3 linked regions of the Saccharomyces cerevisiae S288C genome follow. The gene in region 2 interacts genetically with the main gene of each other region. Each region holds a gene or a part of one and is shown on either strand. Other genes may lie near its edges.

Evidence for each region.
Region 1: mutations in SPT23 (region 2) and DGK1 together harm fitness more than expected from each alone (negative genetic interaction), as found in Saccharomyces cerevisiae (5 studies listed by BioGRID).
Region 3: mutations in SPT23 (region 2) and OPI3 together harm fitness more than expected from each alone (negative genetic interaction), as found in Saccharomyces cerevisiae (5 studies listed by BioGRID).

The regions. Positions count from the first base shown.
Region 1 is NC_001147.6:897,517-901,515, reverse strand, and holds DGK1 (diacylglycerol kinase), read left to right. Parts: upstream 1-1,587; coding exon 1,588-2,460; downstream 2,461-3,999. Other genes in the region: 60S ribosomal protein eL20 RPL20B, read left to right, coding at 322-322, 749-1,266; RNA-processing protein NOP58, read left to right, coding at 3,156-3,999. UniProt on the Saccharomyces cerevisiae protein: CTP-dependent diacylglycerol kinase that catalyzes the phosphorylation of diacylglycerol (DAG) to phosphatidate (PA). Controls phosphatidate levels at the nuclear envelope.
Region 2 is NC_001143.9:398,332-405,293, reverse strand, and holds SPT23 (Spt23p), read left to right. Parts: upstream 1-3,213; coding exon 3,214-6,462; downstream 6,463-6,962. Other genes in the region: ATP-dependent 5'-3' DNA helicase HCS1, read left to right, coding at 1-104; WD-repeat containing protein SWD2, read right to left, coding at 203-1,192; MCO12 (Mco12p), read left to right, coding at 1,415-1,714; RAM2 (bifunctional protein farnesyltransferase/protein geranylgeranyltransferase), read right to left, coding at 1,776-2,726; MAK11 (Mak11p), read left to right, coding at 6,544-6,962. UniProt on the Saccharomyces cerevisiae protein: Dosage-dependent suppressor of Ty-induced promoter mutations. May exert its suppression effect through protein-protein interactions since does not present any of the motifs generally found in transcriptional activators or DNA binding proteins.
Region 3 is NC_001142.9:570,776-574,628, reverse strand, and holds OPI3 (bifunctional phosphatidyl-N-methylethanolamine N-methyltransferase/phosphatidyl-N-dimethylethanolamine N-methyltransferase), read left to right. Parts: upstream 1-1,693; coding exon 1,694-2,314; downstream 2,315-3,853. Other genes in the region: HOC1 (alpha-1,6-mannosyltransferase), read right to left, coding at 1-648; Ran GTPase-binding protein MOG1, read right to left, coding at 878-1,534; GTPase NPA3, read left to right, coding at 2,505-3,662. UniProt on the Saccharomyces cerevisiae protein: Catalyzes the second two steps of the methylation pathway of phosphatidylcholine biosynthesis, the SAM-dependent methylation of phosphatidylmonomethylethanolamine (PMME) to phosphatidyldimethylethanolamine (PDME) and of PDME to phosphatidylcholine (PC).

The DNA of each region.
Region 1 (3,999 bases), on a different chromosome or scaffold from region 2:
ATCTTTGAATTTTTATCTCTTTCAGGTAACCCCATGACCAGTAGGGCGGCTTACTACCGAAGAGAAAAATGTCCGCGGCCTAGACAGTTACTTCCCAGGCCAGGGCCAGGCCACACGGACAGAGGCAGATTCCAAGTTGTTCCGCATAGTCTGTCTAGCTCTTTCTCAATTTTCCGCCAGATTCTGTCTAATTTCTTTCCGCTCGAGTTGGCAACAGTACGAAGAAGTAACTCTAATAGATAGATATAACCGTTTTTGAGGGCATTATTTTTGCAGAAGATAATAGAAGAGAACCGTAACAAAGGAATCAAGCAAAGAAAAAGTATGTAATAGAATGTATTGTATGCTTGTGGAATGAATGTCAATGTAGCTATTTTATATGGTGAGCTCAAATTGAATGAACATATCGTGGAAATTTAAAATACTGAAGAATACCCAATAAGTCAATGCAACCTGTGAATGTTTTTCCTGAAATACGCCGAATACTGAATACGATTATTACCATAAATTGCTTCTAGAAGGAAGGCGGTGTACCATTTAATACTGATGATATGGTTAATATCATTTGAGAAGTCTTCACATGAGGACTATAGAACTACCATCCAGGAATTATAGAGGAAATTAACTGAATCAGAGATCTATTTTGAAACATTCATTTACATGTAATTGTCTGCAATAAAGCAATATTTTTGAAATATGCAAGTTTACTAACAAGAATAAATTCTTTTTTGATTTTTATCTTTAACAGTGGCTCATTTCAAAGAATACCAAGTCATTGGTCGTCGTTTACCAACTGAATCCGTTCCAGAACCAAAGTTGTTCAGAATGAGAATTTTTGCTTCAAATGAAGTCATCGCCAAGTCTCGTTACTGGTATTTCTTGCAAAAATTGCACAAGGTTAAGAAGGCTTCTGGTGAAATTGTTTCCATCAACCAAATCAACGAAGCTCACCCAACCAAGGTCAAGAACTTCGGTGTTTGGGTTAGATACGATTCCAGATCTGGTACTCACAACATGTACAAGGAAATCAGAGACGTATCCAGAGTTGCTGCCGTCGAAACCTTATACCAAGACATGGCTGCTAGACACAGAGCTAGATTTAGATCTATTCACATCTTGAAGGTTGCTGAAATTGAAAAGACTGCTGATGTCAAGAGACAATACGTCAAGCAATTCTTGACCAAGGATTTAAAATTCCCATTACCTCACAGAGTCCAAAAATCTACCAAGACTTTCTCTTACAAGAGACCATCAACCTTCTACTAAGCCAACAAGATATTTCTACGTTTTTTAGTATAATAAAATTTTGTATAATTCATTTTGTAGATTCAAGGAAATTTTAAAATATATCCTGTTTCTTCTCTTACATTATGCACTACCAGCGTGAAAGCACAATGTCATGCCATGTATCTTTACAAAATCCAGGGTCCATAGCGGGTAACAAATTATTGGTTTTTCTGCGATAAATATAAAACGTAGCGTAATTATAAAAATCCTGAGCGGTGTTGTCGTAGAGCAGTTGAACATTACGTAAACAGATATCTACGCATTTCTGTCATTTGGATTCATACAGGGTTTACAGACAATATGGGGACCGAAGATGCCATTGCCCTTCCAAATAGCACGCTAGAGCCGCGTACCGAAGCTAAGCAAAGACTATCATCTAAGAGTCATCAAGTCTCGGCGAAAGTAACGATTCCAGCAAAAGAAGAAATTAGTAGTAGCGATGACGATGCACACGTTCCAGTGACAGAAATACATTTGAAATCTCATGAATGGTTCGGCGATTTTATAACTAAACATGAAATTCCCCGTAAGGTGTTCCATTCTTCCATTGGCTTTATTACTTTGTACCTGTATACGCAGGGTATTAATTATAAAAATGTTTTATGGCCTTTGATATACGCCTTCATCATATTGTTTATTTTGGATCTGATAAGACTAAACTGGCCCTTTTTCAATATGCTTTACTGTAGAACTGTGGGTGCGCTAATGAGAAAAAAGGAGATTCATACATACAATGGGGTATTGTGGTACATTCTTGGGTTAATCTTTTCTTTTAACTTTTTCTCTAAAGATGTTACCTTAATATCGTTATTTTTGCTAAGTTGGTCCGATACAGCCGCCGCAACTATTGGAAGAAAGTATGGTCATTTAACACCCAAAGTGGCAAGAAATAAATCCCTTGCAGGTTCGATAGCTGCGTTTACAGTTGGTGTTATCACCTGCTGGGTATTTTATGGCTATTTTGTTCCTGCCTACAGCTACGTCAACAAACCTGGCGAGATCCAATGGAGCCCAGAAACAAGCAGATTAAGTTTGAATATGCTATCCTTGTTAGGTGGTGTGGTAGCTGCTTTGAGTGAAGGTATAGATTTGTTCAACTGGGATGATAATTTCACTATTCCTGTCCTGTCATCACTTTTTATGAACGCAGTAATCAAAACATTCAAGAAATAAAAGCATATATACCAAAAACAGGAGTGTTTTATATTCTTCGGTAAGTCTTTTTTACAGTAACTGGAGTGCGCGATTCAGTTTATCTGTGGTTAACGATCCAGCACCTCTTCGATCTTTGGCATCCACAAATTATTTTTCTAAATATCCTACATATCCGAGTATAGAGTTAGAACCTGTGTAAATTATTCAGCAGTATTTCCGTATTTTTCACGCCATTAGAAACATTCGACACAAGCAGTTTTATGAAAACATTTATGTTACTAATATATGTGCCAACAAGCGCATCCAAATGGGGCGCAACATTATTATTTAATCGTAAACCTACACCATATTTTCATCAGTAAAAAAAGGCTTTTTCATGCCCCAACTTTGTCACAAAGCAATCATATCAGAGAACAATAAAAAAGAACAATCCTGCGAAATACGATTACCAAGATCCTGAACCAGCGTTCATTTATCTTGGCATCTCAAGGATATATGGTTTATCTGCGATTACCGCCCAGTGGCCTTATTGATATTGATATCATTGTGTACGTTAGAACAGAAAAAAAGAAATTTGGAAAATTTTTCAACCTCATCGAAAATTTTCAGAAAAGCAAGAATTATTTATGCTTTCGCAAAAATTTCGCATATAAGTTATTTTTGAAATAGCAGTCGATACCAAATTAGCTGTAGAACCTCAACCTCCTCATACAATGGCTTACGTTTTAACTGAAACTTCAGCTGGTTATGCTCTTTTAAAAGCTTCCGATAAGAAAATCTACAAATCTTCAAGCTTAATTCAAGACTTGGATAGCTCTGACAAAGTCTTGAAGGAATTCAAGATCGCCGCCTTTTCCAAGTTCAACTCTGCAGCTAACGCTTTAGAGGAAGCCAACTCCATTATTGAAGGTAAAGTTTCTTCCCAATTAGAAAAACTTCTGGAAGAAATTAAAAAGGACAAGAAGTCGACCTTGATTGTTAGTGAAACTAAACTGGCAAACGCTATTAATAAGTTGGGATTGAACTTCAATGTTGTTTCCGATGCTGTAACCTTAGATATCTATAGAGCTATCAAAGAATATTTGCCAGAATTGCTGCCAGGTATGTCTGATAATGATCTAAGCAAGATGTCTTTGGGTTTAGCTCATTCCATCGGTCGTCACAAATTAAAATTTTCTGCTGACAAAGTTGATGTTATGATTATTCAAGCAATTGCTTTATTGGATGATTTAGATAAAGAATTAAACACATATGCCATGAGATGTAAAGAATGGTACGGGTGGCACTTTCCTGAGTTAGCTAAGATTGTTACTGATTCCGTCGCTTATGCGAGAATTATTCTAACAATGGGTATCAGATCCAAGGCTTCTGAAACAGATTTGAGTGAAATCTTACCAGAAGAGATTGAAGAACGTGTCAAAACCGCTGCTGAAGTGTCTATGGGTACTGAAATCACTCAAACCGATCTAGACAACATTAATGCTTTAGCTGAACAAATAGTCGAATTTGCCGCTTACAGAGAACAGTTGTCCAATTACTTGTCTGCAAGAATGAAGG
Region 2 (6,962 bases):
TAGAAGTTCTGCAAAGGTGCGGTAACAAGTACCTAAAAAGTTGGTCAGAATGGTGTGAAGAGAACGCTGACGTAAGGTACCCCAACATTGACGATTATTTGTAAAGAATACACAAGATGTATAGAGTATACGTCGTTATACAGTAGGTAAAAAATGTTCGTTATATATTATATCCTCTAGTATATCAATGCAGTAGCAGCAGTCATTCATCGTACACGTAAAAATCTACTGTTTCGTCTGCGGTAACAAACATCGAATATTTAGGGTTGAATGCAATTGACCTGGGGCAGGTCTCATGAGAAACACAGGGAATGAACCCTTGCGGCCTTAATACTTTGTTACTTATTGAATCAGAATGATTCCAAATGGCAATCCTACCGTCATAATCGGTTCCAAGGACGAATTCACCATCTGGTGTGAAACAAGCAGATCCAGAATCTAGAAATTCTCTCATCGGGAAGGCCCTTGTTCCTATTAGTTCGAATAATTGTTGACCTGTGAATGCGTCAAAAATTAAATGCTTTCCTATCGAGGAGCCAACTAATAAATACTTTCCATTGTTAGAAAATTCTAATTTATTCCATTGACTGAAAGTCGCATCATTAATTTTAATTATCAAGAAAGGACCCTCCTGAATTTTTTTCAGATTATATAGCCCTATTTCGAAATTCTCTGGGTTCCCCAATGCGAATACAAGGCCACTTGGATCATATGCGATACAATTTGGTACGAGACTTGGTATAATAACTTGCGGTTTAGAGATCTTCAAATCCCAAAGCCTAACGGATTCATCGTATGACGACGATAGAAACGTATCGTTCACGGGGTTCATCTTCAAATCATTCACTAGGGCGCCATGACCGGAAAAATATCTTAGATATTGGTTTGTTTCCAGATTAAGGTATTTAATGTCAAAATTTTTCATTGTAGAGGAATAGATACATTCGTTTTGTGCGTGCGTAAAGATAGCGGAGTGACAGCCATATTTCTTAGAGGCTATAGTGTCCAAGAATTTGCAGTTCGTGGCACTGTACAATTGCATTGTATCGTTGGAAGAAGAGGTCAGTAGAAACTGGCCATTATCGTCGAAATTCAATGAGGTTACGGGTCCGCAGTCTTTTTCTTGAGGTTGAAAGCTTTTAACATGCTTGAATTTCAGCAGGTTGGGCTTATTGATGGACACGGTGGTCATTGTTGGCTATGCTAAAAGGACAAACGGTGTATTTGCTTGTGCTTTGCTCGATATTTTAGTCTTGCTTTCATTTTTTTTCTTTCTTTTTTAATGTACTAGTGCTAAACTGCATGAAGAAAAAATGGGTAAAAAAAGGTATCGAATAAATGAGTGTAGGTAACAGTTAAACAGCAAAAAGAAGGAGCAAAAGAGAGTGAAGATCAGATCGTAACATATTGCAAGATGTTGGGAATGATAAGGTGGGTAGTAGAGGGGACGTTGGTAGCTATGCTCCTATCGGCAATAAGAAGGGAGACGGGAATGATATTCTTTTACAACCAGTATCAGTTGGGCGGCTGGATACATAGATATCTGTCATGGGGAGAGATGTGCTACACAAGGACGCTGAAGATGGTTAAACGTTCTAAATTTTTCAGAAAGCAGTTGAACGAGGACGGGTTTGGACGCATCAATGATAGCGGTCCAAAACGAAGGGGAAGAGATCAATCTCAATACAGCAGTAGGTTTGTAGAACTAGATTAAACTTGCGTGCATGCACGTACACACGTAAATATATTCGTACAAATAGAGTGCTTACATATATTCAGTTCAGATTATTTATTTTGTGGTGCCACAAGTTTTTTCTAATAGGATCGTATTTGATTGCTAGCAAGCTATAGGCCTTAACAGCGTTGTCTCGGGTACAAGGGTCTGCCCCCCAGTGATATGCCAGGAATTCCAGGGCATATGAGGACTCGATCTCGGGCAAATCCTCTGGTGAGCCAATTGGAAGTGACAATACGTCACCGATGAAGGTTGTGGCGAAGTCGACTACTTTGCTATCCCACTGTAGCCTATCATGGAATAGCTCTTGGAAACCACGGAGGTAGGTCCACGGACTGATGTTCTGCGGAACCAATTGAATCTTGTCCATAATGAACTGGAGCTCGTCGGCCAATTCCACTTTTGAAATGACATCTTTAGCGTTCACCCAGTAAAACATCCTATGAGTCCATGCGCTGTTGTTATAAATGTCTGTCTCGATGAGGTCGCTGGCGTAGGCGAGCTCATGTTGAAAGTCACTGAAGAACAAACAGCACCACTTTCTGTACGACCAAACGTGATAATTCTTGGAATCATCATCAATCATCAGTTTTAAGATAGGCAGCTCTCTTTTGAAGGAAGGAGACGGATGTAGCTTCAAAAGAGACTGTCTATAGGACCAGATCTGATAGTTCTTTGGATTATTCAGCGTAACTTCATCTAGCCAGTCTAATTCCTTGTTCAGGTACAAGACAGTGTCTTCGGATTCACTCATCATGTGCCTGACGATATTGAATCGGTAGTTCCATATGGTGTAGAAGGCTGGCGCCACGTCGATAATTTCGGCTGTTAGCTGTAGTGCCCTGGGTGACAGTTCGTTAAGGCTGATCAGAGCCCTTGCGAGTCCCATCAACCGCTTATAATCCTCGGTATACATAATCCTGCACAGTTCATCCTGCAAGTCTGTCTCAATGGGCAAAGGTTTAACGTCTGAATAATCGTACTCCTCCATTTTCGATGGTGTACGTTGTATCAGCACTTGATATATAATATACCATAATTAACAGTCTTGCAGTAGGTCTGCACCAACAGTTAAGGACCAATTTAACAGAATGTCAAAAGCGAAACTTTGCTGATGTGTTTTATCACGAGGCCCAATCGAAAACCGGCGCGAGCACTGCTGCAACCTTCAAAAATGAGAGAGCGCTTCCCAGCAGGTCTCTAGTTGCATATGGATAGCGTCATGATGAATATAGGTCAGCATAGGGCTCTGGAAGGCCTGGCATTATCGGTTATTGTCGCTATTGCTGCCCTTTTCTCTGCTCGTGTAAGGTGACATTGTTGTATTCCCGCTTTTTTCGTTTCAATTTTAACGGCAAGGAGCAACCATGAAAGTAAGATGATCGCATGAACTGAAAATGTCAACGAAACTCATTCAAAATAATTATACTCTAGATATCCTCTAAACGACTAATCACAACAGTAGTACACCACTGAAAATGATGAGTGGCACAGGAAACGTTTCCTCGATGCTCCACAGCTATAGCGCCAACATACAGCACAACGATGGCTCTCCGGACTTGGATTTACTAGAATCAGAATTACTGGATATTGCTCTGCTCAACTCTGGGTCCTCTCTGCAAGACCCTGGTTTATTGAGTCTGAACCAAGAGAAAATGATAACAGCAGGTACTACTACACCAGGTAAGGAAGATGAAGGGGAGCTCAGGGATGACATCGCATCTTTGCAAGGATTGCTTGATCGACACGTTCAATTTGGCAGAAAGCTACCTCTGAGGACGCCATACGCGAATCCACTGGATTTTATCAACATTAACCCGCAGTCCCTTCCATTGTCTCTAGAAATTATTGGGTTGCCGAAGGTTTCTAGGGTGGAAACTCAGATGAAGCTGAGTTTTCGGATTAGAAACGCACATGCAAGAAAAAACTTCTTTATTCATCTGCCCTCTGATTGTATAGCGAAGGACAAGTTTTTCACCAGCTCGGACGATCCCACCAACTTGACAATACCCAATAGGGACATCAACGAAAGGACTCTTTTCTTGGACGCCTTTCTTTTGTGTGCATCTAACAACAATAGCAACAACTTCAAGCAGACCTATGTTTGTAATAGATGTATCAACAGGGAAAAAAGAAGAGCGTCGAGAAGAAAGTCTGGGTTGAACGACAACTCCATCTGGCAAAATAACGAAAACAAAAGAGCAATCATATTCAATAGTAAACAACTTTTCATCATTAGTAATAACGGTTTGAGTGGTAACTCTAACTGTATCAATTTCGACTTACCGACGAGAATCGTCTGTTACTGCAGACACCACAAGGCAACTAACGGGTTTGTAGTTTTGTTCCTTCTAAGGGACCATAACGGCGATATCTTGGCGAAAACTATAACAGATCCCATAATGATCATGGACAAGAAAAATGCCAGCAATACCACAACTCCAACCAGCACCAGCAATGCCCAGGTTTCGCCAATGACAAATGACACTAGATCCTTTTCATCGCCGCAAAGTGACTTAAACTTCCCATCCGAATTCCCCCTGCCTTCTAACAGTAAAAATTTTGTCATTTCTACGAACTGTATGCTTGATAGCAATTGTAATAACAACAACAATGATAATGATAACAAAAACAACATTAAGACTAATACCGCAATGATGAACAACAACAGACACTTTCCATCACCAAATTCCTCCAGTGAGGACAGCAACCATTCTTTTTCAGATATTCATTTTTCTAATAACAACGACAACAATTTACATCGTTCACTAGACTCTTGGTCGTCCACAGGTTTTAATAGTTCATCTAATCCCGCTCTTACTACATTAACTAGTGATTTCAGTGCGGCCTCTGCGAGACACACTGGCAAGAGGCAGCGTTCGGTAAACGAGCCTTTTATGTCTACGCCTAATACGTTTTCCCGTCTTCCCCAGAAATTCATCGATTCTTCCAAAGATATATCGAACCATAATAGTGTCCCCGTGGCGCTAAATAACAAGCCTTCTATTCAGCGTGTCATCCCCGCACAAGGTTCCATCAACGGAGGTATAGAAGTGACTCTACTTGGCTCAAAGTTTAAGCAGGGCTTAATCATCAAGTTTGGCGAAAATATAGCATTGTCCAGCCAATGCTGGAATGAATCTACGATGGTGACTTATTTACCGCCTTCATCTAAACCTGGACCGGTTTTGGTAACCATAGTCGACCCAAGTGAAACGTCTATGAGAAATAATAGCAATAGTAGTGTTTCCACCAGCAATAGTACCAATGACATTCTGCACTTAAACAAGTATACCGGTGAGAAAGCAATCTTTACTTATGTTGATGATACTGATAGGCAACTAATTGAATTGGCTCTGCAAATTGTGGGGCTGAAAATGAACGGTAAACTGGAAGATGCAAGAAATATTGCTAAAAGGATTGTTGGCAGTGATTCATCTCCATCTAATAATAACGCAGGATTACACTCACAGAATAGCTCTTTAAATTCGTACACGAATATGATGCGAAATATAAACGATGAACAATTGATCACTGAAGTTATTAAGTCATTTAAGAGAAATAATAATCTCTCTACCGTCAATCTTTCCATGTGTGACGTTAGGGGTAGAACTCTATTACATCTGGCAGCATTCAATAACTGGTATAGTCTTGTCTCATTACTAATCAAATATGGGTCGCATTTGAACGACCAAGATTTATTTGGTTTTACTCCGCTACATATGGCGTGTATTAATGGTGACTTGAGAATTATAAGACTATTGTTAGAATGCAACGTTAATATTATGAAGAAAACCAGAAACGGCTTTATCGCTAAACAGTTCTTCCTGATGAATTATACTGTCAACAAGACCAGATATTCTAATTATGAAACCAGTCTGTTTGACGACATTCTGACTAGATTAACGAAGAATACAACAGGATCCAGTGATACTCAACCGTTTGAGAGAAATGTATCCCAGTCAAGTTTCAACTCAAGTTTATTTGATGATGACGATGCTGATCATGACTATGTCCAAGAAAGAAAATATTTATTGGCGGATTCCGCTGCCCTTGCCCCCGAACAATCCAACTGTAATGACAATACGTCATTCTCAATCCTAGATTCGGATTCAGGTTATGACATAAGTGATTGTGAATCATCTTCAGATGAGATTGCTTTGGAGTTCTTTAACACCCACAAAATCAAGGACTTCTCTTCAAAGCCAAATGAAATACCAAAAACTACTAAGACTAGCATAGAGCCTGACGGATCTTTATGGAACAGAATGCTAACTCGTTTAAATGACGAGCTCCCAAAGTATGAAGACTTGTTCCCAAAAAAACCCAAAAACTGGGAACTTGGTAGCAAATCTGTGGAGATTGGGCCAGATAATTCTGCCCAAATGACCGTGGATGATTCTCAAACTTCTTCTGAAGACGATGAATTAGAAGCTTTACAGGTCGGGTTCAACACAATCTTTTCCAAGAAGCAAAACTTTCAGAATGATAAGATGCTCCTATTCTTTTGGATCCCCTTAACTTTAGTACTCTTATTATGTTTCACATTATCGAATTTGGGGAAAGATGATGATATGTTTCATAATTTATCCAAAATTGTTCAGGAATATTTAAGAATTGGTTTAGCCAAGGTACTACTAGGCAACGAAAGGATGAAAACCTCTTTTAAAATGCAGTTATCGAAGTTTCAAAACAATAACATTCTAAACGACATGCGAGTCAATTAAAGACATTTTTCTAGCTACATAATCCTTACACTATATAGATTCATTTTTTATTATTTTGCATTTTTGAATTTTATCTTCTTTATGTTACTGAATACTACTTATACTGTCTTCATTTTTTTTTTGCTTAGAATTATAAAGTTCAAGATCAAGGCCGAAAATTTTTTAGAACATGAAAAATTGAAAACTCATGGTACCTCATCTCGAAAAGATCCTAAGGGCCAAGTCAAGAATTCGTGTAGAAAAATGAGTGCTATAGGCGACAAGAACCAATTTCGTATCATTGTGGGCTCATACGAGCACAACATTTTGTGTTTATCCTTAGATATCCCAAATCAAAAGGAAAATGATGCAGCAAAGACACCACATTTTATGCCAATATTTCATTTTCAAGCCCATTCGTTGAGTATTAAATGTTTGGCTGTTTCAAGAAGATACCTAGTTTCTGGATCCAATGACGAGCACATCAGAATTTATGATTTGCAAAAGAGGAAGGAACTGGG
Region 3 (3,853 bases), on a different chromosome or scaffold from region 2:
GTCAGCATAAACACCTCCATGAACTAACAGTATTAAGTATTTGAAAAAATCTATCTTTAGGATGATGGAGGGCAGAGCTTCGTAAGTCTCTAGGATTTCCGGTATGGAGTAGAAGTAGTGGTGTACTAGTGCGTTTATCACGTCATGGTTCAACACTTCGTGCGCAAAGCCCGGATTCTTGCTTTCCCACATGCCCTTTATATCTTGAACACGCTCGGGACCTTCATCATTGGACCAAGTTTGCCAAATAAATGCTGGGAACTTGACATGGGAATCGTAGGGGAAAGTCATAGCTATGCGTTCTCTTAGGGTGGCCTCCGGAGGTGTTTGTTTCAAGTCTTGGATTTTTTTTTCCAGGATCTTACGTTGTTTATCAAATTGCTTTGCTTGAACTTCCTGTTGGTGTCTGATCTCCTGAGCCAAACTCTCAAAATGTTGAACTAGATCAGAATCCGAACTCTGAATATTGTTGGCACTATTAATGCTTTGGGAAATCTCTTTGGGCAAGTTCTGCAGAATTTTTTGTAAATCAGTAGCATTAGAATTGTGAAATAGGTATCTAACTCCAAATGCTAATGAGATGAGGGCTATTATGGCGAATATCATCAACCTCCTGAAACTGGAGGCTCTTTTTGTTGTTTTGGCCATCGTTAACCGCTACAGTCTATATATCTATCTGCTGTCTTCCGAGTAGAGTGCCTCTTCTCTGCAAGAATACGTGCAAAATGGAAAGAGAGGAATGTTCATTATGGTCACTGTTATTTTTTCACTTTCTTCGCTGCTGGGAAATTTCGTTATACTTATCGGAAAAAACATGTAATACGCTATATAGTAGAAATAAAAAGGTAATATAAACATAAGGTTAAAATTTGAAAGATTAAGCAAACAGCGACGTGTCCACAACGTGAAACTTCCGTACCATTTCTTGCAACAATTGGTAAACAGCATGACATCTTGCAGGCAACTCTTTGTTGCTTGCTTGCGACGCCTCCTCCTTTGTCAAAGGTACATTAATGGAGATGACCACATCCGTGTCAAACTGGGTTAATCTGATCAACGCTACGCCGATGACAACGGTCTGTGCCAGATCTGGTTTTCCCCACTTATTTGCTACTTCCATAACGAGTCCGGTGAACTTGGTTCCTTGCTGAACAGTGTCTTCTTGTAAAGCTTCCCATTTGGTGGTCCCGTTCAACTCCGTCAGGTCTTCCACGTGGAACTGCCAAGCCTCCTTCAGATCGCTCTTGTCGACCGTCTCCAAGAGATCCACGATAATGCTTTCATTGGTGGCTAGTCCATCTTCGAATTCTTCTTCATCGCGACGGGAATTGACGTACACCTCCTGTGTATCGGGGACTTCTCTTAGAGTAGAAGCGTCTATAAACCCAGGTGGGACGACAGTAGTGATGGCGCCGCCGTATAATTCGACTTCCTTGTTGTTCATGCTTCCTTGATGACCAGGGTAGGTGTCAATGAGAGTGCATGTGGAAAGTTGCACCGGTTGTGAAATATGAGAAGCCTTTTCAATCTTCATATGCAAACCCACACATGCATCGTTGGTTTCTGTCCACTGCCACTGCAATGACCACTGGATAAGGGGTCTTTATAAGAGAACACATATGAAGAACATGAACGTTCTTGGACAGAGCCATAAACAGCAATTGAAGACAACAAGAATAGCGCAAGTCAAGCGATGAAGGAGTCAGTCCAAGAGATCATCCAGCAACTCATCCACAGTGTCGATTTACAGTCTTCCAAGTTCCAGCTGGCCATTGTGTGCACGATGTTCAATCCTATCTTTTGGAACATCGTTGCAAGAATGGAATACCACAAGCATTCTCTCACCAAGATGTGTGGTGGGGCCAGAAAGGGCTGTTACATGTTGGCGGCGACCATATTTTCGCTAGGTATCGTCAGAGACATGGTGTACGAGTCTGCATTGCGTGAACAGCCTACGTGTTCTCTGATCACGGGCGAGAACTGGACCAAGCTGGGTGTGGCTCTCTTTGGTTTGGGGCAAGTGCTTGTTTTGAGTTCCATGTACAAGCTGGGTATCACAGGGACGTACTTGGGTGACTATTTCGGCATCCTGATGGATGAGAGAGTCACCGGCTTCCCCTTCAACGTTTCCAACAACCCCATGTACCAGGGTTCCACTTTGTCCTTCTTGGGCATAGCCCTTTACAAAGGAAAGCCTGCGGGGCTGGTTGTTTCTGCCGTAGTTTACTTCATGTACAAGATCGCTCTTCGTTGGGAAGAACCTTTTACTGCCATGATCTACGCTAACCGTGATAAGGCCAAAAAGAATATGTAAGTGCTCTATTTCTATATATTCTATAATGTTAGAAGCCTATGCTATTACCGTTTCTATATAGCTCCATAAGCAATTTCTTCGCGAAAGTGAAAAAAAAAAATTTTAATGCGATGCTCTATTTAACAAGGAATACAATGAGAGCATCTAGCGCACACAAACAACTACAAAACGCAATAACGACACAGCAAGAATGAGTCTCAGCACAATCATATGTATTGGTATGGCCGGATCCGGTAAAACAACTTTCATGCAAAGGTTAAACTCCCACTTGCGGGCAGAGAAAACGCCACCATACGTAATCAATCTTGATCCTGCAGTATTGAGAGTCCCCTATGGTGCAAACATCGATATCAGAGACTCAATCAAATACAAGAAAGTGATGGAGAATTACCAGCTAGGTCCGAACGGTGCCATTGTCACCAGTTTGAATTTGTTCAGCACCAAGATTGATCAAGTTATTAGGTTGGTGGAACAGAAGAAGGACAAGTTCCAAAACTGCATCATCGACACTCCAGGCCAAATCGAATGTTTTGTGTGGAGTGCGTCGGGTGCCATTATCACGGAATCTTTTGCCTCCAGCTTTCCCACAGTGATTGCATATATCGTGGATACGCCTAGAAACTCATCCCCAACTACATTCATGAGTAACATGCTGTACGCCTGCTCCATTCTGTATAAGACCAAACTTCCCATGATTGTCGTTTTCAACAAGACCGACGTGTGCAAGGCAGATTTTGCTAAGGAATGGATGACGGATTTTGAGAGTTTCCAAGCAGCAATCAAGGAAGATCAAGACTTGAATGGTGACAATGGGCTGGGCTCCGGGTACATGAGCTCATTGGTCAATTCTATGTCACTGATGCTTGAAGAATTCTATTCCCAGCTAGACGTCGTGGGCGTTTCCAGTTTTACCGGAGACGGATTCGACGAATTTATGCAATGCGTAGACAAGAAAGTTGATGAATACGACCAATACTATAAGCAAGAACGTGAAAAAGCATTGAACCTAAAAAAGAAAAAGGAAGAGATGAGAAAGCAAAAATCATTGAATGGCCTGATGAAGGATCTAGGGTTAAACGAGAAGAGCAGCGCTGCAGCCAGCGACAACGACAGCATAGATGCCATTAGCGACCTCGAAGAGGATGCCAATGATGGTCTTGTGGATAGGGATGAGGACGAAGGCGTTGAGAGAGAATACACGTTCCCAGGCGAAGAAAGAACAAAAGGTGAGGTCAACGAGAACTCTGCTCCAGACCTACAAAGGAGATATCAGGAAGCTATGCAACAAGTAGGGAAAACGGCCAGTAGCGAGACTGCAGAAAATATCGCGAAGTATATTAGAAACTAAATAACTACGTATAGTCCTTTGGTTCGGCGATCATTCGACCCGCAGAGAAAAAAAAAGACAATGGAATTGCAAAGACGAACGTCAGATAAACTCCCACGTTTATTATCTTTTGAACAATAGAGGTAATCCTTCCACAGAAATCCCTGTAGAATGCAGTGAGAAACAAGAAAAAAAAAAAATTTTTTTTTTTT